7 linked regions of the Macaca mulatta genome follow. The protein of the gene in region 6 interacts with the protein of the main gene of each other region in a pairwise test. Links are inferred from orthologs where the notes say so. Each region holds a gene or a part of one and is shown on either strand. Other genes may lie near its edges.

Region 1 (2,373 bases), on a different chromosome or scaffold from region 6:
ACCTCGCCCGGCTATTTTTTTGTATTTTTTAGTAGAGACGGGGTTTCACCGTGTTAGCCGGGATCGTCTCTCGATCTCCTGACCTCGTGATCCGCCCGTCTCGGCCTCCCAAAGTGCTGGGATTACAGGCTTGAGCCACCGCGCCCGGCCAGATTTTTTTTTTTTAACTAAGATCATAGAATCACGGAATTGTCAGACTTGGAAAATCCTTGGAGATACCCAAGACGTGACTTGTGGGTATGTTATGAAATTAAGAGCCTAAATCAAATGCCCTTCTCATTCAACTACAAGTAATGAGCTTGGACAGATGTCAGACTGGAGACCTGACCTTTAGAAGTGAGAAAGAGGGATGAATTAGTAGAGTCCAGTATAATGACTGCTTTTCTTTTAAAGAAGCTAATGGCAGCAGTGTCAAGCTGAGCTAACATCAAAGAGGATTAATTTGAAAGGCTCTTCTAATTTGTCAAAGGGAAGGACATGGGATAGGTGCTGTGGAGCAGCCATCTGCCTTGAGTCATAATTCTGAGAGAATTACCAGGGCTCAGAAGAATTTCTTTACTAGAGAAAGTCCCAAGTAATTTTTTTTCTTTTTTATTCTAGATCTCAGAAAAATTCATGTGTAAATTCTACCAAATTTGGTCCTGTAGAGAGATACGTTGGAGGTGCCTTGGGAGGACATGATGTTCTCAATCTGCCAGATGTTCCTGGCATATAAGTAGAATTTGCTGCCTGGAAGTTCAACCCTCACAATATACCCCTCCCACCGTCATATCAAAATAATGAATTATCTGGCCAGGAATCATGTCCCAAACTTAACTGGCCCTTCTTTTAAAGGCCCTGCTTTCTGTTTAACTATCAGAGGTTTAATTGTACTTATTCCATTAGTAAAACTTCATTCCATTAGTGAACTGAAAAGGAATTTACCATCTGCAAGTTCTTTCATTTTACTAACAAGGAGGAGTTCTAGAAAGTGGGAACTTCAAATTAACGGTTTGCTGCTTTATGCCTTTAATAAAAATGTGTTGAGAAACGACTATGTGAAAGGCCCCAGTGAATAACAAATGGGTTGTGCCCTAAGACCTTGAGGTTTGATAGGTCTGTGGTCATGAGTGACTAGATGTAAGAGATATACAAAGTGCCAGGAGGGAGGAGGGCAGCAGGGGGCTGCTCTGAGGTCCCTCAAATGGGCTACTTGCAGAGAAGTTTTAAAATCTCCTCTGGGATCTTTACCTTCAATTTGGTAACAAGACTGAAAAAAAAATCACACAAATCTCTTGTCAAAGCATACGGAAAGAATAAAATATTTTAAATTTCTCTCTTGCAATATAGAATTATGCAATGTATTTGCGGAGAGGAGGAGAAAAATAATTAATTTCACAATGAAACCAGATAACCAGATATAAGTTGAAACACTATTGTGAATGAATCTTCATGACATACAAGAAACAGATTATGTACAATTTTTGGCTGGTCTTAATAGAATTTAATGCCCTTTGAATTAAATGATAATCAATTATGGTAGGACTGCCAATTAGCAACTTTTTAAAAAAAAGTTCTAATGCATTGTTTAAGTGTACCTATTCTTTTACCCTCTTACAGGATTTAAATCAATTCATGACTCTCTCAGCTCTCTCCAGCAAATACAGAAAACAAAGATGGATTTAGAGAAATGTAAAGTACAGAAAGACCTGAAGAAATTACAGCGTAAGATAGTGGAACTCCAGGAAGTATAAACCTTTTCAGTCATCTTCTTTTTCACCAGCCAATGGAGTGATTTGTTGGGAAAAGTTCTGAAGAAGAAAGTTACTATCTCTGGGATGTTTACTGCTTCTAATGTCTCCTTTTAAGGAGATGAATGTACCAGAAAAATAATAAAGCACAGAAGCTTTGGATGTCTTGCATTTATTAATGAAAAAACTAAGAAATTTCCTTATATATCTGCCTCTCTCTCTCTCGATAGATAGATAGATAGATATGTATATGTGTGTATATATGTGTGTGTGTATATATATATAAATCTACAAATAACGAAAAAGGAATCTACATAAGGTATATGAGTGAAGTAGGCCAGTTGTAATACATTAAAGAATGACAGGAGCTCTGTCAAGTTGGAGAGCACGTACTCTGTCTAAAAATAATAGCTACTATGTAGTGACAGTTCATGACTAACATATATATATATATATATATATATATATAAATCCATTATTATCCAAAATTCCATTTTTCAAGAGAAATCCCTCTATTTTTAAGCTTTAGCAACTAGTTCAAAATAGTTCTCAAACTATGTGAGATGCCTGTGGAGCAGATATGACCTAGTGGTCAGTTTGCAACTTCTAATCTCAATGTTTGTGGCAAGTTTAACTTATGCAT
Region 2 (4,301 bases), on a different chromosome or scaffold from region 6:
TAGATACCTAGCTCTGTTCTAGCTGCCTCTTACCAGTTCTCATTTAATTCTCCAATCCCATATTAAGAGATGAAGAAACTGAGGCACAACATAAAGTAGGGTGCCAGGATTTGAACCTAGACAATTTGACTCTAACGTCTGTGCCCCTAATCATTCCCTTAAGTAGTCCTCAGGTTCTGTAATTATTATACCTGACTGCTTAAGGCTCAGGTAACTCCCTTCTGGCCACTTCTAAGCCATTACTGTCAGATGTTATTAATAGTAAAGAGACGATATCAATGTTTAAAACGGCCATTCAATAAGAGGACTGAAAACACTAGCCCCTGGAAATTCCCAACTTCCACGCGACTCAGAAGTTACACAACTCTTTCCCTAAACCCAGTGCTCCACCCAGTGTAGCTAACTTTGTCGTCGCGTAGCAACAGAACCTCGCCACACTGGAAGCGTGGCGGGGGGTCGGGGGGGTGGATTTTCTCGACTGGGGATGCTGCTGCCCGGTGGCCGGCAAAGGCCCTATCGGTCTCAAACATCTGAATTTTGCACCGACACAATCTCATGTAATGATTGTTCTGTTTCCTGTGTTGCGCCACAACAAACTTCCTTGGGCTACATTTTCCCTCAGATTTGAGTAAAAGATTTGAGGTCACGCTAAGAAGCCTGAATACTGAGGTACAGAAACGGTTGTTTACAAAAAAAAAAAAAAAAAAAACCTAGCGACGGGACCGCCGAGTTTGCGGCAGCCAAAAAAGCTAGCGATGAGCTCAGCTAAAGTGCCAGGACTCTCGGATAGATTTCTAACATGTTTCATTCTCAACAGGCTGGAACCCAACGCTGTTCTTGTGGTCTCTGCCTCTGGGGAGTCCACAAGCTGTAAATCTAACATGCAGCCAGCCGTGCGGCTTCTGGCCGCGCCACATCTGAGGAAAGCCTTTTCTGTGACGAGCGGGGAGAGGAGACTGACTGGAGCCAGAGAATGGAGGCGGCGGGCTGGCGGAGGCAGGGGGAGGCACTTTCAGGCGCACTTCACAGACGCACAAAAACAAGGAAGCCTGAAGGGAAGGCGGTTGAAAATAAGACAAGAGAAGCCGCCAACGGAAGCGCGCCCCCCTCAGGATCGGTTGGTCGTTCCAAAGCTCAGCTTCCCCCGCCCCGAAGACCTGCTGCGGATCACAGCCGCGCGCGCGCACTCCCGCTGCCCTCGGGCGCTGGGCAGGGAGAGCCGCGCGCACCGGTTAATTCTGCCAATCACGCGTTTAGGCCGCCTATCGTGTGGCCAAGCCCCGCCCCAACCGCCGGCTGGCGGAGGCGCGCGCGCAGTCCCGCCGCTCTGAGTCGCTGAGTGAAGCGGCGTCTCGCGCGTTAGTCAGTCTGGCCAATTGCGCGTCTTCTACGCCAGCCGCACGGCCCCGCCCCTGCCACAGGATCGATTTACGGCCGCAGCTGCGCGCGCTTTTTGCTCTCGCTGGGAATGGCGGAGGGAGGTACTCAGCTGAGGGGAAGGGGGTTACCTGAGACCTGGGCTTCCCCGGGAGTGTGCTGTGGAGTCGAGTTGAGCTCCTTTTCCGGGTCTGGGGAACTCAACCTCACCTCATCCATGGGGTCTTCGGGGATCTAGTGGGCTTTCTGCAATGGGGGGAAGGAGGGGACTACTCCCGCCCCTGGTTTGCCTCTCAAAAGTTGATGCCTTTGTCGGAGAAAGCAATTTCAGTCCACTCTCCTTTTCAGTGCCTATTCGCTGCTTAAACTAAAAGGGCGTAAATGCATCTCCGCTGTGTTTCTTATGCCTCGGGCCGGCAGGGTAACGGGTTCTAGTCACAGCTTGTAGAGTTCAGGATGGGTGACATTCAGGTCCTATTGTTTTTGAGTCAAAGTTTCGGCTATATCTTCTTGAATTATGAAGCTGTCATCATAAAGAATTCCTGATTAAAGCTGTTATTCCCTTCTTCCAAGGCAGAATTTGAATATATTTTGGTGGATGAAAAGAAAACAAGGAGAGTTGTGACTATGAGATACTAGCTGGTTGATGTGTCATGAAAATCTTAGTGGTCCCTTTGTGGGAAGGTAAATGGAAAACTGCAAAAAGAGCAATAATGAATTACAAAGTGAAATTAGAAGAAATATCTGGCTTACTTGTGGATGCTTTGTACACCAATAAAATATATTCTTTGATAAAAATCGACTATGGAGAGGTGTGGCTAATTTGATTCTCATTTAATAATTTTTCTTTTTTAGAGAAAAACCAAGATTTCACTTTCAAGATGGAAAGTTCGTCAGACTCAGCTGTGGTTTTACCTAGCACTCCTCAGGCCTCTGCGAATCCATCATCTCCCTATACAAATAGTTCACGAAAACAAGTATGAAAATCTTTGTCCTTCCAGTGGATCCATTGTGTGTTTCTAAGTATTGTGGCAGTGGTGGTTTAAATTCTACTGAAGGTTGTTAATTAACATAATGTGTAGCATAAATAAGTAGACATTTTATTAAACAATTTTATGTTTTTCTTCTAAGGTCACATATATGACACCCACCAGCCCCTTTCCATATTTTCCTCTTGAATCAATTCATTTCAGTTAGTTTCAGATTAATGGAGAAAGTTAGAATCTGTGCAATATTGTGAAGGTCTTTAGTGGCAGGGTCTAGGTCTTTTCCTTACTCTGTAATTCTGAAGCACCTGGAGTACCGTCAGGCATGTGCTTGTTACTGAACAAATGTTCCTTGATTACTGGGATAAACCTTTCAACACTTTTAGAAAGGTGTTGATCTTGCTGAAGTAAAAAGGAAATAGAACAAATGGAGCTTCCAGAAATTAAAGACATTTTGTGATGCCTTCTTTAGATGTGGAGACAGAAAGCCATCTAGTGGTGTCTAGCACAGAAATGTAAGGCCTTTATTTCTGGTGATTTATTGACATCAAGAATGTTTTTCTTGATTCACATTTTTAATGTTTTATGCTCTTTATAGCCTATGAGTGCAACACTTAGAGAAAGATTAAGGAAAACAAGATCTTCATTTAATTCCTGTTACAATGTGGTGAAACGTCTTAAAGTAGAGAGTGAAGAAAATGATCAGACCTTTTCAGACAAACCAGCATCTTCCACAGAGGAAAACTGTTTGGAATTTCAAGAAAGTTTTAAACACATAGATAGTGAATTTGAAGAAAATACAAATTTGAAAAATACTTTGAAGAATCTCAGTGTCTGTGAATCTCAGTCACTTCATTCTGGATCATGCAGTGCTCTCCAAAATGAGTTCATGAATGAGAATCTTCCTAAACAAAGATTAAACGATGAAAAAGCCAAATTGGTGAAGCAGGTTCAGGAGAAAGAAGACCTTCTTCGGAGGCTAAAACTAGTCAAAATGTATAGATCAAAGGTGAGAAGAATTTCGGGACCATTGTATCATTTTTATTTTTACATAAATTGCAGGAAAGTAATTTCAAAAATAGAAAATAAGGTGTGTGTTTGTTTTTTTATCATAATAAGCAATAAGCCAAATATTCAGAAACCTGGCTTCCAACAACTTTAATTCAACTCCAGATTTAGAGTAGAAAAGGCCCTTAAACACCAGGTAAAACTTTTTAAGAATCTCAGCTCTTATTTAATATGCAGTTAAACTTTTCTTTCTAGTTTCTAGCCCACAGCAATATTAGAAGTATTAAATGTTAGATGCAAGTACGACGGGAACAGAAGTGAAAGCTGACAGTCAATTAGTAAAACTAAAAATGGGCTGTAGAGTACAATAAAAGGTATTTTATTTATGATCTTGTGTCTCCCCCAAATAATTAATGTGATTCAGCCATATTATTTGAGAAAAAAACAAATATATATTAGATTTTAGATTTCAACTCATATAGGTTGAATTAAATAGAACTTGAGTACATGGAAGGAGATAACCTTTATTACCTGGAAAATTCATATATATGCAATAGCTCATTTTCCCCCAACTATGTGGAATAAATGATGAGATAGCATATCTCATTTGTTCTCGTGAAATTTTAGGGTTTTTTAAAAATAAAATTTAGGAGTATTGAATGTATTTTAAAATTTAGGAGTAAAAAGTGTATTTTATTTATTCATTCTCTTTTTAGAGACATGGTCTCTGTTACCCAGCCTGGAGTACAGTGGTACAGTCCTAACTTATTGCAGCCTTGAACTCCTGGGCTCAAGTGATCCTCCCACCTCAGCCTCCCTAGTAACTGGGACTACAGGCATGTGCCATCACACCTGGCTAATTTTTTTAAATTATTTTTTTGTAGAGATAGTCTTGTTATTTTGCACAGTCTAGTCTTGAACTCCTAGGCT
Region 3 (4,402 bases), on a different chromosome or scaffold from region 6:
CGCCCGAGGGCGCCCAGGAGGCCGCGCCCGCTCCTCGGCCGCCGCCCGAACCCGACGACGCGGCCGCCGCGCTCCGCCTGGCGCTGGACCAGCTGTCGGCGCTCGGGCTGGGGGCCGCGGGCGACACGGACGAGGAGGGGGCGGCCGGGGACGGCGCAGCGGCGGCGGGGGGCGCGGACGGCGGGTCGGCTCCGGAGCCTGTGACCCCCGACGGGCCCGAGGCCGGCGCGCCCGCGACCCTGGCCCCCGCCGTGGCCGTGGCCCCCGGGTCGCTGCCGCTGCTGGACCCCAACGCGAGCCCCCCGCCGCCCCGGCCGTCACCCCCCGACGTGTTCGCGGGCTTCGCGCCCCACCCCGCGGCCCTGGGCCCCCCGACGCTGCTGGCCGAGCAGATGAGCGTGATCGGCAGCCGCAAGAAGAGCGTCAACATGACCGAGTGCGTCCCGGTGCCCAGCTCCGAGCACGTCGCCGAGATCGTGGGCCGCCAGGGTGAGTGGCCCTCGTCGGGGGTTGCTGTCCTGGGGGTCCCCGCACCGCCCGCCCCGTGGAAGGGGGTCTCCCGAGCCCAGCCTAGCCCGCGCCGGACGCCCCGCACCGGACACGCCCCGCGTGGGCTCCGGCCTCGGCCACTGCCTTTGCGCCTTTGTCCTGCAGCGGCCGCGGGAGAAAGTTGGGCGCAGCCCGCGCTCCTCCCCTGCTCGCTCCGGCCCCGCCGCCGCCTTTGTCTGGGCAGCCTCCAGCCCGGAAAGGCTCCCGGGAGCCGCGCCGCAGCCCAGGCCCTTGGCCACCCGCAGGGGCACCCCGGAGAGGAGCGCGAGGGCCCGGGGCTCCGGTCGGGCGGGGGGCACCCCACACCCAGCACAGGCGGCGGGGCGGGGCAAGCGCAGGTTTAGGGGTGGCTTAGGGGGGCCGCCTGCAGGGCCGGGAGAGAAGGCTGACAGTACAAAGAGCGCACGTCTGGGTCCCCAGCCTGGGGCCCTGACTGGGGTGGGGACGGGACCTGGCAGGAGAGGGTCCCTGCTCCACTCTCCGGCCCCGAGTCAGGGATTTGGGGGCCTGGGAAGGACCGGCTGTCAAAGCCACTTCTGGGGTGCAGCCTGCTGGGCAGGCCAGCGGGCGGCAGGCCCCGAGTGTGGGGTCCAGCGGTGGCATCGTCGGAGCTTCCCTCTGGCCGCCCCATTGTTCTCTTTGTTAGAGAGCTAGGCTGAGATTTGCAGGGTGACATCAGGCCGGCCGCTGCTCATTGGCCCCCGAGCTGCGGGGCGGGCGGGCGGGTGGTGGGCAGTGCCTGGCCCAGCTCACACCCACCACCCCATTAGCCACCCGCCCGCCCGCCTCCCTCAACTTTCTCCTGCCTTCCCGCCACCCCTACCCACTCCTGGCTCCCCGCTGACCGCCAGTGATCAGCCAGGTTCTAGAACTTGGGGTGGGGCCTTGGCGGGGCTAGGTGGGGCGGCAGGACACTTGGGCTGGGGGTCCCTGCCTCCCCCAGGGCCCTCAGGAACCCAGGCCAGAGAAAGGTGTGGGGGGCTGGGATTGCAAGGTCATCTATGGCCCTGGCCGCAGGCGGGGGACCACCAGGGTGCCCTCCCCTCCGCCCCTTCCCTCCGTCCTGGTGGGTGGGGCAGCATGGCCTCTTGTGTTTTGGTCAGTCATTTGTCCAGCTCATGTGGGGACCCATGGAGGGCCAGGCGTGGTGCTGGCCCAGGAGGCATGCTCTGGAATGGCGATGCGGAGGGACTGGGTGCTCTGGCTGCCCTCAGTGGGACTCCCCAGCAGGAGGGTGCCCTACCATCCTGTTACGGCCTCCCCATTGAGGCCTTCCACCTGCCTCCATGTCCCATAACCAGGGCTTAGAACAGGACAGCTGCCCTGTGCAGAGTGTCGGGGACAGACGTCCAAGCCGAGGCCCGGGGACCAAGTGTCCAAAGGCAGCAGGCTGAGCCACCAGGTGGTGGAGGGTGTGGCTGTGTTCTATGTGAACTCGCGTGTCCTGGCACCCGAAGGGCCTTTGAGCGAGGCTGTGACCACATGGGGAGCTAACAGGAGTCAGGGTCAGGCTGAGAGCTTCTAGACCTGTGGCCCTAGGGTGGGAATTCTCTAGGGGCAGGTCCACGGGAGATGGAGTCCATGGGCACCAGGCTTAGCCACCCACTTCTGGCCTGTGCGTTCTGCACCCACTTACTGGGCTCTTGCTGGTGGCGGTCAGCAAGGCAGGCCCTGGGGCACAGTGGGGGTGGCGGGAGAGTGGGCCCTGATTGCTTGCCCGGCAGGCCACAGTGGCCCGTGACCCTGTGCAGGTGACAGCCCCCTCTCTGTGATGTGCAGACGTCTCACCTCCATTGGGATAGAGGATTCTGGGGCAAGATGCTGGTTTTATATATTTATTTATGAGACGGAGTTTTGCTCTTTCTCCCAGGCTGGAGTGCAGTGACGCGATCTGGGCTCACTGCAAACTCCGCCTTCTGGTTTCAACCTATTCTCCTGCCTCAGCCTCCTGAGTAGCTGGGATTACAGGTGACTGCCACCACGCCCAGCTGATTTTTGTATTTTTAGTAGAGACGGGATCTCGAACTCCTGACCTCAAGTGATCCGCCAGCCTCTGCCCCCCAAAGTGCTGGGATTACAGGCCTGAGCCACCACGCCCCGGCTTATTTATTTATTAGTTTTTATTTAAAAATTTTTTTTGTAGAGACAGAGTCTCGTTCTCTTGGCCAGGCTGGTCTTGAACTCCTGACCTCAACCGACCCTCCCACCTCAGTTACCCAGAGTGCTGGGGCTGCTACAGGTGTGAGCTACCATGCCTGGACCCAAGTTGCTGGTTTTAATTCCAGCTCCAGGTCACACACAGCAGCCACCCTGTAAGTGGAGTGCAGGTTGCCAGGGATGTTACTGTGACTGCCATGACAGGTTGAAACAGGCCTTACATCTTCCACACTGTAGAACCATCTGTGGCTCCCAGCTTTTCCCACCCACCCCGTTGTCAAGCACACCTTTCAGTGTCCTTTGTGTCCCAGCCCTGCCCCTTCGCTCACCTTCTTCTCTACCCTGGGGCTCTCTGAGCTTCTCATGCTTTTCTGTCAAACCCAACCTCCAAGGCTACCCCTTCCCTGGAGGACAGGAGGGGTGCACCTGTCCGGCCTCCCCACCTAGACCAGAGTCACACAGGCCTGGCACCAGCCCTCTGCCCGGTAGCCATGTGCTGTTCTCTGAGGCTCAGTTCTCTCGATCCTACAGGGATCTGAGTGCTTTCTGGGCAGACTGTGGTCATTCACACCTTCTGAGCTCCCACCCATCTGCTGGAGGCTCCAATTCATTTGTTTGCTAGACTTTTTTTTTTTTTTGAGACAGAGCCTCGCTCTGTTGCCCAGGCTGGAGTGCAGTGGTGTGATCCCAGTTCACTGCAACCTCCACCTTCCAGGTTGAAGCCATCCTCCTGCCTCAGCCCCACTAGTAGCTGGGATTTCAGGCACGTGCCACCACGCCCAGCTGGTTTTTGTATTTTCAGTAGAGATGAGGTTTCGCCATGTTGGCCAGGCTGGTCTTGAACTCCTGACCTCAGGTGATCCGCCCGTCTCGGCCTCCCAAAGTGCTGGGATTACAGGCGTGAGCCACCGCGCCTGTCCCCCAGCTGATTTTTGTATTTTCGGTAGAGAAGGGATTTCGCCGTGTTGGTCAGGCTGGCCTCAAACTCCTGACCTCAGGTGATCCGCCTGCCTTGGCCTCCCGAAGTGCTGGGATTACAGGCGTGAGCCTCTGCACCCAGCTATTGGCTAGATCTTTATTGAGTGCCTACTGTGTGCTGAGCCTGTGCCAGACTTGACCTGCCCCATCTCACTGAGGCCCATAATGTTCCCCAGGGAAGGTCCTGCAGCTCCCAGGTCATAGATGGGGAGGCAGAGGCTGCAGGAGGTAAAGGGTAGGTAAAAACTGAGGGGACAGCAGCACTTTGAGAGGCTGAGGCAGGAGGATCCCTCTAGCGTAGGAATTGAGAACAGCCCGGCCAACACGGCAAAACCCTGTCTCTACAAAAAAAAATACAAAAATTAGGCATGGTGGCACACTCCTGCGACTCCAGCTACTCGGGAGACTGAGGCGGAAGGATTACTTGAGCCTGGGAGGCCGAGGCTGCAGTGAGCTATGATCTCGCCACCGCACTCCAGTCTAGGCAACAGAGCGAGACCCTGTCTCCAAAACAAAAAAATCACGGGCTGGGATTCAAACCCTAGTTTCTCTGGTGGGTCAGCAAAGAAAATTTCAGCTTCCAAAGCTGGAGGGCTGTGGGTGGGGGGAGGCAGCCCTGTTTGGGAGACAGGCAAAGTGGAGATCCAAGAGCACAGGCGTCTCCCTCCAGCTGGCCAGCAAAGGCGCTCTAGGGGACCTCAGGCCCTGCTCCTGCTGA
Region 4 (3,708 bases), on a different chromosome or scaffold from region 6:
TTGTCAACTGCCCAATCTCGGGTACGTCTTTATCAGCAGCGTGAAAACAGACTAGTACACTCTCTCTCACATTTCCCTTGGCTCTCCTCTTATAAGGACACCTGTCGTGGGATTTAGGGTCCACCCTAAATCCAGGGCGATCTCATCTTGATATCCTTTACTTTAATTACATCTGGAAAGATCTATTTCCAAATAAGCTCACATTCTGAGGTTCTAGGTGGACATGAATTTCGGGGGATAAATATGCAGGCCACTATAGTGACATATACAGAACTTACAATAAAAATGTAAATGTACCATCGAGTCAATTGTCTAAGAGGTAGCAGACACCTCTTTAAATGCTCACACTAGCTGTGAAGATCAGCTTCCTCGCTGCGTGGCCCGCTGTCAGAGTGAACTTCAGCAAATATCACAGGAGCCCCTGACAGCATCTTCTCTGACACAGGGAAAGATAAAAAGCAGAAATATAAAAACCTGTCACCCATCTATTTCTGTATTCCTTGTATCTAATTGTTTCTTTCTCCACTGCCCCCATCTCCTTCCATATGACAGTTTAGCAGGCACCTAAGGAATGGAACAGTGCCACTCTCAATATAATATTTATGAGATGGTTAAAGAATAATAACTGTGGTATCTATTTTAATTTCCATTTTAATCTTCTGTCCTACTTTTGAAAAAAAAGATCTAAAAAAGTACTGTAATTCAAGCACAGAGATAAGCATACACACTTAAAACTTTCTTTTTTCTTAAGAGTCAGGGTATCACTCGGTCGCCCAGGCTACAGTACAGTGGTATAATCAGAGCTCACTGCAGCCTCAAATTCCTGGGCTCAATCGATCCTCCTGCCTCAGCCTCCTGAGTTGCTAGGACTACAGGCATGAACCACCATGCTTGGCTATTTTTATTTTATTTTTTGTAGACATGGGGGTCTCACTATCTCTACAGGATTGTGCCCAGGCTTGTCTGAAACTCCTGGCCTCAAAAGGGATCCTCCTGCCTCAGCCTCCAAAAGCACTGAGATTACAAATGTGAGCAACCACACTCAGCTCCATAATTAATACTCTGGAAGGAGCTTTCTTGTTGTTGTTATTGTTCTTGGTTTTATGGGTGTGGGAAAGGGAGCCGTGTTGGGGGAGTCTGGTGTTACGCATGCTGAGTGCAAAGCATGCCTGGGGAGGCATGGAGGCCTCACTGAGGATGTGGGAAGCATGCCCAGGGCTGATCCTGAGAGGAAAAACCAAATTTAGAATTTTTTCTTCTTAAATATTTTGAGCCTCATATTTGTAGCCCTTCATAAAAAGCTTCTTCATAGCCCTCATATTAAAGATACAACCAAATACGAGAGTTAAGAGTTAAGGAGTTAATAGTTAATATTTAAGGAATAGCCTGGGGGTCCTGCAGACCTGGGTTGGAATAAGACCTTGGGCAGGTTGCTCAACCACACCTAGCCTCAGTTTCCCCAGCTGTAAAATGGACAAATGTCTCTAGTTCATGTTATTGTAAGGATCACATGAGACACTCAGCAGTGTGCTTTGCTGTGGAATAACCCCCTGACCGTGTTAGTTATCAGAGTCTCACTAGGCCCTAGAAGGAAGCAGGAGATATCTGTATTCCCATTTGATAGCCTCAAAGAAGTCAAAAGCACACACAACCAGTGCTGCAGGGCTGGAGACACGAATGGAAATCAAACAACTGTAAATCCCTGTTAATTCTCAGTTGTAATTAAATTCCTGGCAGAATAAGGTACTTCATAATATAGTTGTATTGTTCTCCCAAACTATAATCCAACCAGCAAATTATGTTTGAGTTTTTTAAACCACCTGAACCATAAGAGAATTCATACCAATTCTGAGTATAAAATTTCATTATGTTGGGGAAGTAACTGTCCCCACAGTCACAGGCAGAGCCAACGAAGCCAAACGAGCACTGATACTTAGAGTCGGCAACAAAAAGGTGGAGACTCGGTAGAAAGTAATCTATATCGTGAACAGGCCAGATCTGCCCCTCTGCCTGTCCTTGAAAATAAAGTTTTATTGGAACACAGCCATGATCATTCATTTGTGTATAGCTGTGAGAAAGACGGCATGGCCCATAAAGCCTAAACCATTTATTATGTTGCACTTTACAGAAAATGTTTGCCAACCTCTGCTGTAACGGAAGACCTATAATGGGGCAGCAATGGGGAGAACCTGAAAATATCTTAAAATGCCAAGTTGCATTCCTAGCGTTCTCGCCTGGTACTTTCAGTCTCACGAAATAGGGGTGCTTTATTTTTCACGAAGTAGCAGGGAAGGTAAATCCCCCAAGGGACATGAGCAAGAGGACCTTAAAGTTAGGAGGAATTTCTCCCAGCAAAGCCAGTGGAGGATCCTGACACTCGGCCACAGTGGTCTCAGTGGCCTCAGTAGCTTTTTCTCCCCCGTGATGAAATTCCGCACACCTACAGACAGGAAGGACTCACTCGGATTTTCTCGTCCTCCAGGGTTGGGGATGGGCTAGATCCTTGCTCCAATTCCTCCGTCTCTGTCACTGTCTTGCAGATGTCTTTAGGCTGCTGGTTATCTGGAGGCTGCAGATCATGGTACTGTGATTTTGTTTTCAAGCTATTGGTGAATTCTTCAGAGTGAGTTTTTCTGAAGAGAGACAAAAGTAACATTCTCAAAAACCATTCTTCAACAGGAAGAGCTTTTACAAAGCAGATGTTGACATTCAAATTACGTGAGAACCAGTAACAGACACCACTTACTGAGTGCTTCTAACATGCTGGGCCCTGTGCCATCACCTGCCTCAGTTTCCCTCAGTGTAAAGACGTTAACTTCATCCTCATCACAACCCTATGAGGAAGGCATTGTCATCCTCACTTTGTTATAAGAGCTCCAAGAAATTTTGTAATTCACCCAAGACCACATAGTGGTATAGCCAAAATCTGCATCCTGGTCTGCCCAACTCCTGGTTTACAAGTTAACCTATTAGAACATACCATCTCCTTCCAATCGATCATTAAATAATTCCTTTATCTTCATATGTCCATTGATAGTTTTAAAGTTACAGGCACTAGTGGGCAGCATCCCAGCCCTTGAAAGTCCAATGCACCATCCATTGTGCCACAGAGTCGGCTTTGCATCCCTAGCCCTTGGGAACTAAACTGTGGTCCTCATGTCTGTCCCAATTTCCACTTCAGCATCTCAGAGTAATGCTGTCAACATCACTGTGCAGAGCCAGAGAAGGACACCCAGAGCACCCCAGCTACCCAGCAGAGGAGTGCCATCACCTGCCTCAGTTTCCCTCCGAGTTACCTTCCTACATCTGCAGTTGATATCACTTCTCTATTGAAAACCCTCACTGTCCACAGAATAAGGTCCAAACTCCCAAATCTGGCCTCTGAAGCAGTTGCCCAAGGGTATTCCAAATGCTCAGAAGACCTCATCATTCCCCAAAGAACCATTCGTAGTCAAGTCTAGGGGCCTTGGTTAAGCCCTCTGCCTGCACTTTCCTTCTTGGCCTTCTGTAGCTAGAAAACCACTCCTTTCAAGGTTTGGTTCAGATTTTACCTCGTCTGTGGATGGGAATGATAGGTTCCCACCTATGCTTGGTAAACTCTGTTTATACCTTCATTATAGCCAAATCACAGCCTGCACTGCCCGTAGTGAGCTGTGCATCTGTCTACTTCTCCTCCTAGACTGGAAGCTCCCTGTTTCTCTTTGAATT
Region 5 (4,214 bases), on a different chromosome or scaffold from region 6:
AACATCAAAAAAGAAGGCACTGAAGACTGGCAGGCTGGAGAGTCTGACTCTATTGCCTAGGCTGGAGTGCAGTGGTGCTATCTTAGCTCACTACAACCTCTGCCACCCGGATTCAAGCAATTCTCCTGCCTCAGCCTCCCGAGTAGCGGGAATTACAGGCATCTGCCACCGCGCCTGGCTAATTTTTTGTATTTTTAGTAGAGATGGGGTTTCACCATCTTGCCCAGGCTGGTCTTGAACTCCTGACCTCTTCATCTACCTGCCTCGACCTCCCAAAGTGCTGGGATTACAGGGGTGAGCCACTGCGCCCGGCCTTTTCCATTCTCTTTAAAGCACTTCACACAAGTTATGTTACCGGTTTACTCACCAATATTGGCAGGAAAGGGAACTTCATGTACTGCTGGATCCAGGTTGATCACATAAGGTGGAGTGCCTTGGGCATGCAGGTGTCCTGTGAGCCTCTGCAGAGATATGGGGAGAAGGTTGGAAGGAGACAAAGAGGGGACAAGAGAGAACTTCCTTTACCACCCATGCCTTAAGAGTTTTGCACTTAGATTTTCTTTTACCTGAAATATCCACCCACTATATCCACCACCAAGATACAACTCTCAGTTCAAATGCTACCTTTCTTCATCACCCATCTAACAAAACTTCCCCTACTCATAGTCACTTGTTTACTTGTTTTGATTCTTCGTATGTGGGTTTTCTCTATCTCCTCCATTAAATATTTAGCCCCATGAATGAATCTTGTCAACCTAATTTTCGCTATATCCCCAGTGAATGGTACATGACAGGCGTGCAAGAAATAATTCTTCGGCAAATCTTCACCAAAACCTGTGTGCTAGCACTGTATTAATCTCTAAAGTTACTTGTAAGCCCCTGCCTTCGAGAAACTGGCAATTTTATCAGCAAGACAATTCCTGTACAACGTGGTAAGCTGACCGAGTATGCACTGAAGGTGCACAGAAGACAGCCTTAATTAACCTGGCTAGGGCCCGAGGAGGCTTTGCCGGGGAAGGAACTAAAGTTGATGGGAAACGACCGAAACCCATGCGCCGATACCCTCCAAATCCTCGGAGACCTCCCTCCCTTTCTCCCTGGCCTTCCGCCTGTCGGAGGCAACCTTTTGCGCTCCCCTACTACACCCACGCTGTGTACGTCACCTGTACAAAGGTGGTTTTCCCGGATCCCGCCATTCCCAACACCAACAGACACACTGGGTGCCGCGGACCCCCAGAAGCCTGGGGCTCAGCTGCAGCTGCGGGAGCCGCCATCTTCCTCCTGGCCCCGCCCACCTGACCATAGAGACACCGCATGGCTAGAGAAACTTCCGCGATGTTCTGGGCAGCGAACGAAAACAGAACCAAAGCGTCAGAAAGGAGCGTGAAGGGGCGCGGTAGTTGCCAGGGCATCTTCTTAGTATCGGGCAGGGCTGGTGAGCCAACTAGTGACAGTGGCGAGGAAGTGGGGGCGCTGAGCAAGCGAGAGGAAGGCTGAAGGGAGCTAGGAAAGGGCTCTGATCTCTGCAGCCTGGGAGGGCTTTTGGCCCCAGGGGGAAGGCGAGAAGAGATGGGGTCCCGAGGGCAGGACTCACACAGCAAGAAAACGAGGCGCATGCCTCTCATTTCGAGCCCGCAGAGAGCGGGGAGCGGAGCCACTGGAGGACCGGCTGCTCGGGTTTATTCGGTAGCCGAGGCGGTTAAACAGTTCAGGGCTGGACCAGCCAGGACTGGAGCAGGGTGCAGCCTCCAGGGTTGCTGGGCAGCACCGAGACCCTTTGAGCACCGAACGGATAAACTACGGGAGTTTTCCGCACTTGCACGTTGTTCCCGCGAGTTGCAGGCGCAGGTTCCTGATGCTAGCGCTCATTCCTTGGTAATCACCCTCGGTGAACTACGCAGTTGCCGTGACCTTCAGGATGAATGCTTGGATTCCAGGTGCGAATAGGTACTGGAGGGGAGCTTCCTTCTCACTGAAGGGCTCTCAGAAACTCAGGAAAGATGATGAAAGAGCTTAGAAAAGTATTTCTACTCGCAACCACCCAGTCTGTTTCTGTGGCCCTTTGTAGCTGCTAACAGTGTTCAGTAAGTCATAAGATCTGGCTTTCATACCCAGGCTCTGCCACTTGCTAGTGGTGTGAGTCATGGGCAATTCACTTAAACTCTCTGAACCTGTTTTCTCTTTTTAAAACTGAGATAGTACCTCCCAGGGTTGTGGTGAACGCACGTTGTAAATGATGAGCTAAATCCGTCATCTTTTACCACTAGCTGGATTCCCCTCACCTTGCATAATGTCTGGAACATTCTGGGTACTCAGAAATATTCTCTGGTATAAATAAAGGACAGTTGTGCACTTCCTAAAGTTTCATCAACTGAGAGAGGAATGTCTCATTTGTTCTTTCAGGTTTGCTGAGGGCCCCAGAAGGCTCCTTCCACCGTATCATAGGCTAATAAATAATTTTGTCAAGCCAGAGAAGCTAACAAAGGTGGAGACAATCCTTAAAGAAAAGATAGTGGCGGAAATGACGGTTCTGAACAAGCATATAAAACAAGCTCAAATCCAGCGGGAACAGCTACTGGAGGAATACAGGGAGCTATACCAAGAAAAGTTACTTGTCCAGGCTGAAAACAGGTTCTTTCTGGAATACCTGACTAACAAAACTGAAGAGTACACAAAGCAACCTGAGAAGGTATGGAACAGCTATTTACAACAAAGTGGAGAGATTGAACGAAGAAGACAAGAATCAGCCTCCAGATATGCAGAACAAATTTCAGTGCTTAAAACAGCGCTCTTGCAAAAGGAAAATATCCAATCCAGTTTGAAGCGGAAGTTGCAGGCAATGAGGGACATTGCTATATTAAAGGAAAAGCAGGAGAAAGAAATACAGACATTACAGGAGGAGAAAAAGAAAGTCCAAGCTGAGACAGCTGCAAAGACACGTGAAGTACAGGCCCAGCTCCTCCAGGAGAAAAGATTACTGGAGAAACAACTGAGCGAGCCAGACAGGAGGCTACTGGGAAAGAGAAAAAGAAGAGAGCTTAATAAGAAAGCCCAGGCCTTGAAGTTGGCAGCAGAGCGGTCTATTTTTGAATACTCCTGTGGCCTCAAAAGAGAGAACCAGCAGTTCAAGAAGGAATTACTGCAGCTAATTGAGCAAGCCCAGAAACTAACGGCTACTCAAAGCCACTTAGAAAACAGGAAGCAGCAGCTGCAGCAGGAACAGTGGTATCTGGAGTCCTTAATCCGGGGGAGGCAGAGATTGCAAGGAAGTCATAATCAGTGCCTAAATAGACAGGATGTTCCAAAGACCACACCCAGTCTTCCCCAAGGCACCAAATCAAGGATTAATCCAAAGTAACTCCTCCTAAAATAACACTGATTAGATAACTGGAGCAAGTACTCTTAAGTGCTATATTAACCTGGTTAGGAAGGCTTTTGGATTCCAGATTGTTATTGTAACATCTCCATCATGAGTGTTAGAGTGGAGGATTAGATGGTTTTATCCAACAGTCCTACTAGATATTTGGTAACCAGCTTCCCTTAACTAGTTTTTTCTTGAAATACTCTTGTTAATAAGATATTCCACAAACCTCTAGTTAACCTAACACATGACCCTAACCTAGCCATTTACCATACATCAAACTAGCTAAAGGAAACCAACCCGAGGAAGTGAAAACAGTTGTGATTTATTTCATCTAACTAGATTTCTTTATAGAGAAAAAGTACCTTTAAGGATAGCATTCCAAATAGACTGAATAGCGTTCTGCTCAGTAAATAACCAGTATCAGTTTATCCTCATTCCTTTTGACCGACTTAGCAGACAAAAGCAGTTTTTATAAGATTTTTGTAAGTTTGTGCCAGTGACCAGGTAGCTCCTAGTTTTCTCATGAGCGAAAAAGCATTCTGATAACAGCAAGTCCAGTAAGTGCTAGGCAGAGTGACCTTTCATCTGATGTGAAGCCCCTACAAGTTTAGCTTTAAGTAAATTGAGAAGGTAAGAGAAGACGAAGGAGACATCTATTAGGTCAGCTCTTACATTTGAAAATGTTTTCTTTGAAGAAACACATGTAGCATGGAGGTGACTGAATGCCTCCCCTTATTTCAGGAAAATGTATCCAAAAAAAGTTGAAATATTTGGACTTTTAAAAAAGTGTCATCCATTTCCCTAGCAGCATTCTAAAAGATAGAAGTAAAATGATGTTTATTATCCTAAG
Region 6 (3,708 bases):
ACAACAAAAGTATGCAGAGTACCACAGGTGACTTTACTTTGCAAAATGGGAGACAGGTTAGGCTATTCAACCCCATATCACACACTATCCTATTAATATATTTACAAACAGCTAAATTATAACCAGTTTATTCTGATTAAGAATGTCAGCGAGCCAGGTGTGATGGCTCACACCTGTAATCCTAGCACATTGGGAGGCCGAGGCAGTGGATTGCCTGAGGTCAGGAGCTGGAGATCAGCCTGCCAAAATGTGAAACCAGGTCTCCACTAAAACTACAAAAATTAGCCGGGTGTGGTGGTGCATGCCTGTAGTCCCAGCTACTTGGGAGGCTGAGGTGGGAAGATCACTTGACCTCTAAGGTGGAGGCTGCAATGAGCCGAGATCATGCAACTGCACTCCAGCCTGGGTGACAGAGTAGGACTGTCTTGAAAAAAAAAAAAAATGTCCAAGAACATATTTTAGAAAGATTTCCAACAATGAAGTTTAAAGTACATAAGGCCAAACCAGGTTCTATCTAGATACCTTGGAAATCTGACCACATATACCATCTTCAACTTTTACCAAACTGGTATTAAGAGCTGACTTACATAGAGGACATACCTTTCTTTTTTATACAATTTTGCAGCATCTTTAACTTCTCTAAAAACATGGTCTACTTGACGGGTCAACATATCATGCTTTAAACGCTCTAAGAGGTTAATCATGTCATCAAAGACGGAGCTCTCCATAGAGGCTAGCTGTCCCAGCTGCAATTTACTCAGAGTATTATTCTCTGCAAACACCTCCAGTGCAGCCTGTTGAAGTTGTAGAAAGAACTGAAAGCAAAAACATGTTAACACATTAACATACTTTTTTTTTTTAAACAGCTTGAAAGAGAATTCATATATCATACAATTCACCCATTTAAAGTGTATAATTCAGCTGGGCACGGTGGCTCACGCCTGTAATCCCAGTACTTTGGGAGGCCGAGGTGGGTGGATCACCTGAGGTCAGGAGTTCGAAACCAGCCTGGCCAACATTCCAACATTGTGACACCCCATCTACTAAAAATACAAAAATTAGCTGGGCATAGTGGCATGTGCCTGTAATCCTAGCTACTCAGGAGGCTGAATTGCGTGAACCTGGAGGGCAGAGGTTGCAGTGAGCTGAGATCATGCCTCGGCTAACTGCAACCTCCACCTCTACCTCCTGGGTTCAAGCAATTCTCCTGCCTCAGCCTCCTGAGTACCTGGGATTACAGGTGTGTACCATGATGCCCGGCTAATTTTTTTTTTTTTGTAGTTTTCGTAGAGATGGTGTTTCACCATATTGGTCAGACTGGTCTCAAACTCCTGACCTCATGATCTGCCCACCTCAGCCTCCCAAAGTGCTGGGATTACAGGCATAAGCCACCACGCTCGGCAGTACAAGTTTTTATGTGGACATATGTTTCATTTCTCTTGGTATGTACTGAAGAGTGGAATTGCTGGATCTTATGGTAAGTCTATGTGTTAACAGTTTGAAAGGCTGCACATGGTACCTCATGCCTGTAGTGCCAGCACTTTACGAGGCTAAGGCCAGAGAATCATTTTATAGTGAGACCTTATCTCTAGAAAAAAAATATTAGCTGAGTGTGGTAGCCACAGACCTGTAGTCCCCGCTACTCAAGAGGCTGAGATGGGAAGATTGCTGGAGTCCAGGAGGCAGAGCTTGCAGTGAGCCGAGATTGGGCCACTGCACTGTAGCCTGGGCGAAAGAACAAGATCTCATCTCAGAAAACAAAAAGACAGTTTGGGCCGGGCGCGGTGGCTCAAGCCTGTAATCCCAGCACTTTGGGAGGCCGAGACGGGCGGATCACGAGGTCAGGAGATCGAGACCATCCTGGCTGACACGGTGAAACCCCGTCTCTACTAAAAAAAATACAAAAACTTAGCCGGGCGAGGTGGCAGGCGCCTGTAGTCCCAGCTACTCGGGAGGCTGAGGCAGGAGAATGGCGTAAATCCGGGAGGCGGAGCTTGCAGTGAGCTGAGATCCGGCCAGTGCACTCCAGCCTGGGCGACAGAGCGAGACTCCGTCTCAAAAAAAAAAAAAAAAAAGACAGTTTGAGGAACTGTCATACTGTTTTCCACAGCAACTGTACTATGTTACATTCCCACTAGTCAATGTTAAACTGTTTTGAAATGGAACAATCTCAAGACATATTAACCAGAAAAAGCAGAAGAGTCTGCATAGTATGTTACCACATGTTGACATACACACACCAGTATTTATATAAACAGCTTTAGTAATACGTATAAGAAATTGATCAAAGTGATTGGCTTTAGAGAAGATTAGAATTAAGACTTATTTTCACTATATATAGTTTCAATATATACAGTTTTGTGGCTTTTGAATTTCGTATCACATGGATTACATATAGTGAAAAATATTTTTCTCTTTCAACTTCTGTGTATGGTAATCACGAACTTAACAAAAAAAAATGACACTATCAGCCGGGCGTGGTGGCTCATGCCTGTAATCTCAGCACTCTGGGAGGCCGGACAGGTGGATCACCTGAGGTCAGGAGTTCGAGACCAGTCTGGCCAACATAGTGAAACCCCATCTCTACTAAAAATACAAAAATTACCTGGGCATGGTGGCGGGCGCCTATAATCCCAGCTACTCAGGAGGCTGAGACAGGAGAATTGCTTGAACCTAGGAGGCAGAGGTTGCAGTGAGCCAAGATCGTGCCACTGTACTCTAGCCTGGGCAACAAGAGCAAAACCCTGTCTCAAAAAACAAAAAAAAATGAAACTATCTACTTGTTTTTTTATTTTTTGAGATGGAGTCTCGCTCTGTCCCTCAGGCTGGAGTGCAATGGCGCGATCTCGGCTCACTGCAACCTCCACCTCCCTGGTTCAAGTGATTCTCCTGCGTTAGTCTCCCGAGTAGCTGGGACTATAGGCGAGTGCCACCACACCTGGCTAATTTTTGTATTTTTAGTAGAGATGGGGATTCACCATGTAGGCCACGCTGATCTCGAACTCCTGACCTCAGGTGATCCGCTCGCTTTGGCTTCCCAAAGTGCTGAAATTACAGGTGTGAGCCACTGTGCCTGGCCTTGTTTTAAATAAAATTAAAAATAATTTTTAAATGACACTATCATTAAGCATTTAAGCATAAAATTAACTATAAAGGTCTGAAATTTTATTTTTCCAAAATACAATTAACAGAGGACTAAATAAATCACCTTGCCAAGGTTATTTTTTTTTAAACTCTGAATAGCATTAGGCCATGAACACAGCATAATAAGCCATATTAAGGTCATCAAACATTTGGCTAGCCTTGATGGCCAGGCACGGTGGCTCATGCCTGTAAACCCAACACTTTGGGAGGCCGGGGAGGCAGATCACTTGAGGTCTGAGGTTTGAGATCAGCCTGACCAACATGGTGAAACCCCATCTCTACTAAAAATACAAAAATTAGTTGGGCATGGTGGCGCACACCTGTAATCCCAGCTACTGGGGAGGCTGAGGCAGGAGAATCACTTGAACCTGGGAGGCAGAAGTTGGAGTGAGCCAAGATCACACCACTGCAATCCAGCCTGGGTGACAGAGTGAGACCCTTTCTCAAAAAAAAACAACAAAAACAAAACACATTTGGCTACCCTTGAAATGTTTTCTTAAGAATTTTCAGTTGCTTTTCTTTTAAAGTTCTTGAAATAAAACTACACAAAATTTTAAAAACCAA
Region 7 (4,466 bases), on a different chromosome or scaffold from region 6:
CTTGTCTCCCTCATCACAGCAGGACTAGCACATCACGCAGACCAGGAGTCAGCCTTTTAGGAAGAACCAATATCCAACCTTTGGGCTTCTCCCATCATTTCCAGGGATGACAACAACATCTCACAACCACAGGCCTCTCTAATCACGATCAATATGGTAAACATTTTTGTAATATATATTATGGACTGAACACCAGTATGTTTCAAGGAATGTCTGCTTTAGGGTACTCACAGGCCAATGAAGATACAAAAACATGCACCATCAATATAAGACTTAATAAACATTAATGTGTACCAAGTGTCTACAGTATGCCACAGAGGAAGAGTAATTCACCAAAGGGACTAAAAGAATGGCTTGTAGAGGTGGGCCTTGAAGAACGAGGGCAAGTGGGGGAGTGCCATGGCCCTTTTCAGAACAGCTGGGAATACAAATCTACTAATGCTGAGGGGACTGAATGCCAAGAGGTACATCCTAGCTCTTTCAACAGGGGCCACTACACTAAAACCCTAGGAAACCGGGTGGACACCACGCATTAGCCCTCCAGGCCAGTGGTTCTCACAACAAGTTGGGTGTTTGGAGGAGTCACACCCACCCCCTGTGACATCTGGCAATGTCTGGAGACAGTTTTGATTGTCATGCCTGGGGAGTAGGGGTGCTACTGTCATCTAGCAGGTAGACGCCAAGGATGATGTTAAACATCCTACAATGAATGCACAGGGCACATCCCACAGCAAAGGATTATCTCGCTGGAAACGTCAATAGTGCCATTGTTGAGACACTCGGTCTCCAGGAAAGGCACTCCGTATGTGCTACTTCAGCAAGGGCAGCCTCTTAGGCTAGGATATGATTCAGTTAGAACATCTCTGGGGTGGAAGAATACAGCAGGATTCCAAATGAACCACATCTGAGGTGAGAGGAATCCACGGTATATCGTTTAGAGTTGGGAAGTTAAGATATAAAATAGAGGCTTTACCTGACCACCCTTTCTAAAGACACCACCCAAGTCACTTTATCACATCCACCGGTCTCATTTCCTGTATAGCACTTATGACAGCCTAAAACCATCTTATTTTCTCCTTATCTTCTTTCCCCTCTGGAATATAAGTTCCCTATGAGCATGGAGTTGGTTTATTCTATCCTCCGCCGTTTCCACAACTTGCAATGGAATAACTCCTGATAAACAATAAGCATTCAACAAATTTGGTAAATCAATTTCGGCTTTTGACGGTTTCGGTGGTAGGAAAGGGGCGAGTTCGAGGCAACTACCTCTGACATAGCGGTTGGGGGTGGGGATCGAGACCTCAAGCACTCTAAAGTCTGGAAGGCTGGGTCTGAAATACAAAACTGCCGCCTCCGGAGAAGAGTAGAAAGGAAAGAGTTGGAGTGTACCAATGCGAGGCGAGAGGAGACGCTGGGCTGAAACAGAAGTGCACCGTTTGGGACCGAAGGCTACGGGAGAGCTACCAGCGTCCCCACATTTTGCGGAGGGGGTCAAATAAGTCTGGGAAGCCGGCTCCGGGCGGCGCGGCGGGGAGCCGCGAGGCGGGGGACTGGCAGCTGGCGGGAAGCTGGCTCCAGACGCGCCTACTTTGGCGGGAGGGGGAAGTAGGCGGGGTAACTGGCAGCTCGGCCCGTACCACTCGGCCGGGGCGGGGGCCGCGCAGGAAGAGGCAAGTGACACCTGGAAGGGGTTCGAGTTAGAGCAGCCGCGTGGGGAGAGTGGGTTCGAGCAGAACCCCCTCTGGAGGGGCAAGGAACCCGTAAGGGTCCGCGACGTTTCAGGTTACATGGGCTGGGTTGTACTACTCCGGAACCGGATAAGGGGTCCAGGCCGGGACGTGCGCAGGGCCGCAGCCAGGTTTATCTCACCAGAGCCATTGGGTCCAATGATGGCGGTGAACCTCTGAAATGGTCCGATAATCTGTCGACCCTTGTACGACTTAAAGTTCTCGATCTCAATCAGTTTCAGGAACCCCATGACGGCCGCGGCGCCGGCGGCGGTAGGACAGGCCGCGCCGTACGCCCGGGAACCGAGGTAGCCCGCGCGGGAAACGCCGCAGTGCAAGCCGGGCGGCCGGCAAATGTCGCGAGAATACCTCCAGGCCTAACGGGATTTTCGGCTTCCGGCAGGAGTGGGACCAGGGGCGGGGATTGATGTTGCGTATACGAGGAGCGAGCTGACGACTGGCGTGGTGCCTCCGCCCCCCTTTCTTGTTGCATGGCAACAACAAACACTTGCTCCTGTGGACCAGGTCCTCGGAGGAGTTGGTGCTGGGCGGAGTCAGAGCAGCTCTTGAGGTTCAAGGAGGCGGGGGAGACCTGAGCTCACGCTTGCTGAGACAGAAGTCACAGCAGGATTATGCCCCTCAGGGCAAGAGGAAGGTGGGAGCTCGGCTGTGGCTTTAGCCTGGCCAGCCTTCACGGCTAGGACAAGGACAGGGGCGGGAATTGGAAGGACCCGGGGGGAGCGGAGGGCTGGACGAGAAGGAGGGGCCAACGGGAGGATTCAGTGTTAGGTGAGCTCAGACTTTGCTAATGGTGGGGTGGGATTGGAGGCGGGACGGGATGCCAAGGCGGATGGGGTGTGAATGGGGCTGGGGCTATTCCCAGGCAACAGGGATACAGGCTGGGGAAGGCTACGGCCTGAGATACTACCCCTATCCGCTACCTCCCTCCTGTTCTACCAAGCAGAGTTCAGAAACTGCCGCCGTAACCCAAGAACAAAGTTGCATGCAGAGCCAACCTAAGAGCTTCAAAATCGGGATTCCTTACTGAGAAAGGTATTTTGTGTGAACCCCCAGGAGTCAGGGTCCCTAAGCCGGTGCTCTCCACCTCCACCTACCTCTCCCTCCATGCCTCTCCCCCATCCCATTCCCACAGCTCTATACCACGATGCCACCTTACCTCTCTTCCCTCTCTGCTCTCTATCATTAATAAGGCAGGGGCCTTAGCAATCCAAGAAGCTTAAAATGTCTGCTGAATCTTCCCCTTCAGTGACCTTATACTGTGGTGGCAGGTGGAAACAGTAGGTAAGTTGGTGCCATTCTCAGACTTAAACACGGAAAGGATCTGGTGGTTGCCATAATTATTCCTTTAACTATTTATTAAATTATGTCCGAAGGCTAGAAAGAGTCCTAAAGACTTAGGACAAGTCCAAGAAAGTGAGGAAGTGGCTGGGTATGGTGGCTGACACCTGTAATCCCATCGTGAGGGAGGCAGGCCAAGGCAGGAGGATCACTTGAGACCAGCAGTTCAAGACCAGCCTGGGCAACATAGTGAGACCCTATCTCTACTAAAAATTTAAAAATTAGCTGGGTGTGGCAGCTCTCACCTGTGGTCTACCCAGAAGGCCGAAGCAGGAGGATCACTTGAGCCTGGAAGGCTGAGGCTGTAGTGAGTGGTGTCTGCACCACTTCACTCCAGCCTAGGTGACAGAGCAATACCCTGTCTCAAAAATAAATAAAGGGAGGAAGCTTGGTAGATGGAATCTAGTAGGGGAGCCATAAATGAAGTTCAGTTGGGAGAAACAATCAGGCTGAGGGGATAAAATGGCTAAAGGAAAGCAATCTCATGTAATCCATGGGGAAATACTGTTCCCTTTTAAAAGATGAGATGGTGAGCCCTGGGTAACATAGCAAAACCCCATCTCTACAAAAAAATTTTAAAAATTAGCCAGGCATGGTGGCACACACCTGTAGTCCAGCTACTCAGGAGGCTGGGGCAGGAAGATCCTTTGAGCCCAGGAGTTCGAGGCTGCAGTGAGCCATGATTGCACCACTACACTCCATCCTGGGCAACAGAGAGAGACCCCATCTAAAACCAAAATAAAATACATTTTATTCTCTGCCTCAACCTCCCAGGTAGCTAAGATTGCAGGCGCCTGCCACCACGCCAGCTAATTTTTTTGTATTTTTAGTATAGACAGGGTTTCACCATGTTGGCCAGGCTGGTCTTGAACTCCTGACCTCATGATCCACCTGCCTTGGCCTCCCAAAGTGCTGAGGCGTGAGCCACCGTGCCCGGCCAAAAATAAAATACATTTTTAAATTAAAAAAAGATGAGATGGCACTTGGGAAAATTAAATTGGATTCTTATCTCACACCATACACAAAATGCTATTCCAAGTGGATTAAAAACCTAAATGAGGCCGGGCACAGTGGCTCATGCCTGTAATACCAGCACTTTGGGAGGTCGAGGCAGGAGAATTTCTTGAGTTCAAGAATAGCTTGGGCAATATAGTGAGACCCCATCTATATTAAAAAAAATTAAATGGGACCTGGCACGGTGGCTCACGCCTGTAATCCCAGCACTTTGGGAGGCCGAGGCGGGCAGATCACGATGTCAGGAGACCGAGATTATCCTGGCTAACATGGTGAAACCCCGTCTCTACTAAAAATACAAAAAATTAGCCGGGCGTAGTGGCGGGCGCCTGTAGTCCCAGCTACTCGGGAGGCTGAGGCAGGAGA

What was found.
Region 1: the proteins of RINT1 (region 6) and FAM81B interact in binary tests that used the Homo sapiens proteins (3 or more experiments, as listed by UniProt). The two-hybrid records come from large-scale screens. The link is inferred for Macaca mulatta from reciprocal best matches to the Homo sapiens genes RINT1 and FAM81B.
Region 2: the proteins of RINT1 (region 6) and SFR1 interact in binary tests that used the Homo sapiens proteins (3 or more experiments, as listed by UniProt). The two-hybrid records come from large-scale screens. The link is inferred for Macaca mulatta from reciprocal best matches to the Homo sapiens genes RINT1 and SFR1.
Region 3: the proteins of RINT1 (region 6) and C19H19orf25 interact in binary tests that used the Homo sapiens proteins (3 or more experiments, as listed by UniProt). The link is inferred for Macaca mulatta from reciprocal best matches to the Homo sapiens genes RINT1 and C19orf25.
Region 4: the proteins of RINT1 (region 6) and SH2D4A interact in binary tests that used the Homo sapiens proteins (3 or more experiments, as listed by UniProt). The two-hybrid records come from large-scale screens. The link is inferred for Macaca mulatta from reciprocal best matches to the Homo sapiens genes RINT1 and SH2D4A.
Region 5: the proteins of RINT1 (region 6) and CCDC121 interact in binary tests that used the Homo sapiens proteins (3 or more experiments, as listed by UniProt). The two-hybrid records come from large-scale screens. The link is inferred for Macaca mulatta from reciprocal best matches to the Homo sapiens genes RINT1 and CCDC121.
Region 7: the proteins of RINT1 (region 6) and RIBC1 interact in binary tests that used the Homo sapiens proteins (3 or more experiments, as listed by UniProt). The two-hybrid records come from large-scale screens. The link is inferred for Macaca mulatta from reciprocal best matches to the Homo sapiens genes RINT1 and RIBC1.

The regions. Positions count from the first base shown.
Region 1 is NC_133411.1:101,822,362-101,824,734, forward strand, and holds the end of FAM81B (protein FAM81B), read left to right. Parts: intron 1-1,599; coding exon 1,600-1,733; 3' UTR 1,734-1,869; downstream 1,870-2,373.
Region 2 is NC_133414.1:116,280,691-116,284,991, forward strand, and holds the start of SFR1 (swi5-dependent recombination DNA repair protein 1 homolog), read left to right. Parts: upstream 1-1,408; 5' UTR 1,409-1,468; coding exon 1,469-1,481; exon of another isoform or gene 1,482-1,566; intron 1,567-2,232; coding exon 2,233-2,354; intron 2,355-2,961; coding exon 2,962-3,372; intron 3,373-4,301. UniProt on the Homo sapiens protein: Component of the SWI5-SFR1 complex, a complex required for double-strand break repair via homologous recombination. Acts as a transcriptional modulator for ESR1.
Region 3 is NC_133424.1:2,255,754-2,260,155, reverse strand, and holds the start of C19H19orf25 (UPF0449 protein C19orf25 homolog), read left to right. Parts: upstream 1-1,461; 5' UTR 1,462-1,475; intron 1,476-4,402. Other genes in the region: RNA-binding protein MEX3D, read left to right, coding at 1-489.
Region 4 is NC_133413.1:20,975,894-20,979,601, reverse strand, and holds part of SH2D4A (SH2 domain-containing protein 4A), read right to left. Parts: intron 2,634-3,708; coding exon 2,462-2,633; intron 1-2,461. UniProt on the Homo sapiens protein: Inhibits estrogen-induced cell proliferation by competing with PLCG for binding to ESR1, blocking the effect of estrogen on PLCG and repressing estrogen-induced proliferation. May play a role in T-cell development and function.
Region 5 is NC_133418.1:97,366,289-97,370,502, forward strand, and holds the start of CCDC121 (coiled-coil domain-containing protein 121), read left to right. Parts: upstream 1-1,311; 5' UTR 1,312-1,569; coding exon 1,570-1,937; coding exon of another isoform or gene 1,938-1,947; exon of another isoform or gene 1,948-2,079; intron 2,080-2,125; coding exon of another isoform or gene 2,126-2,145; exon of another isoform or gene 2,146-2,160; intron 2,161-2,403; coding exon 2,404-3,358; 3' UTR 3,359-4,214. Other genes in the region: GPN1 (GPN-loop GTPase 1), read right to left, coding at 368-461, 1,164-1,274.
Region 6 is NC_133408.1:145,161,470-145,165,177, reverse strand, and holds part of RINT1 (RAD50-interacting protein 1), read right to left. Parts: intron 816-3,708; coding exon 601-815; intron 1-600. UniProt on the Homo sapiens protein: Involved in regulation of membrane traffic between the Golgi and the endoplasmic reticulum (ER); the function is proposed to depend on its association in the NRZ complex which is believed to play a role in SNARE assembly at the ER.
Region 7 is NC_133426.1:53,268,927-53,273,392, forward strand, and holds the start of RIBC1 (RIB43A-like with coiled-coils protein 1), read left to right. Parts: upstream 1-1,638; 5' UTR 1,639-1,670; intron 1,671-1,869; coding exon of another isoform or gene 1,870-1,978; 5' UTR 1,979-2,035; exon of another isoform or gene 2,036-2,079; intron 2,080-2,243; exon of another isoform or gene 2,244-2,252; 5' UTR 2,253-2,382; exon of another isoform or gene 2,383-2,516; intron 2,517-2,691; 5' UTR 2,692-2,780; intron 2,781-2,938; 5' UTR 2,939-3,029; intron 3,030-4,466. Other genes in the region: SMC1A (structural maintenance of chromosomes protein 1A), read right to left, coding at 1,870-1,978.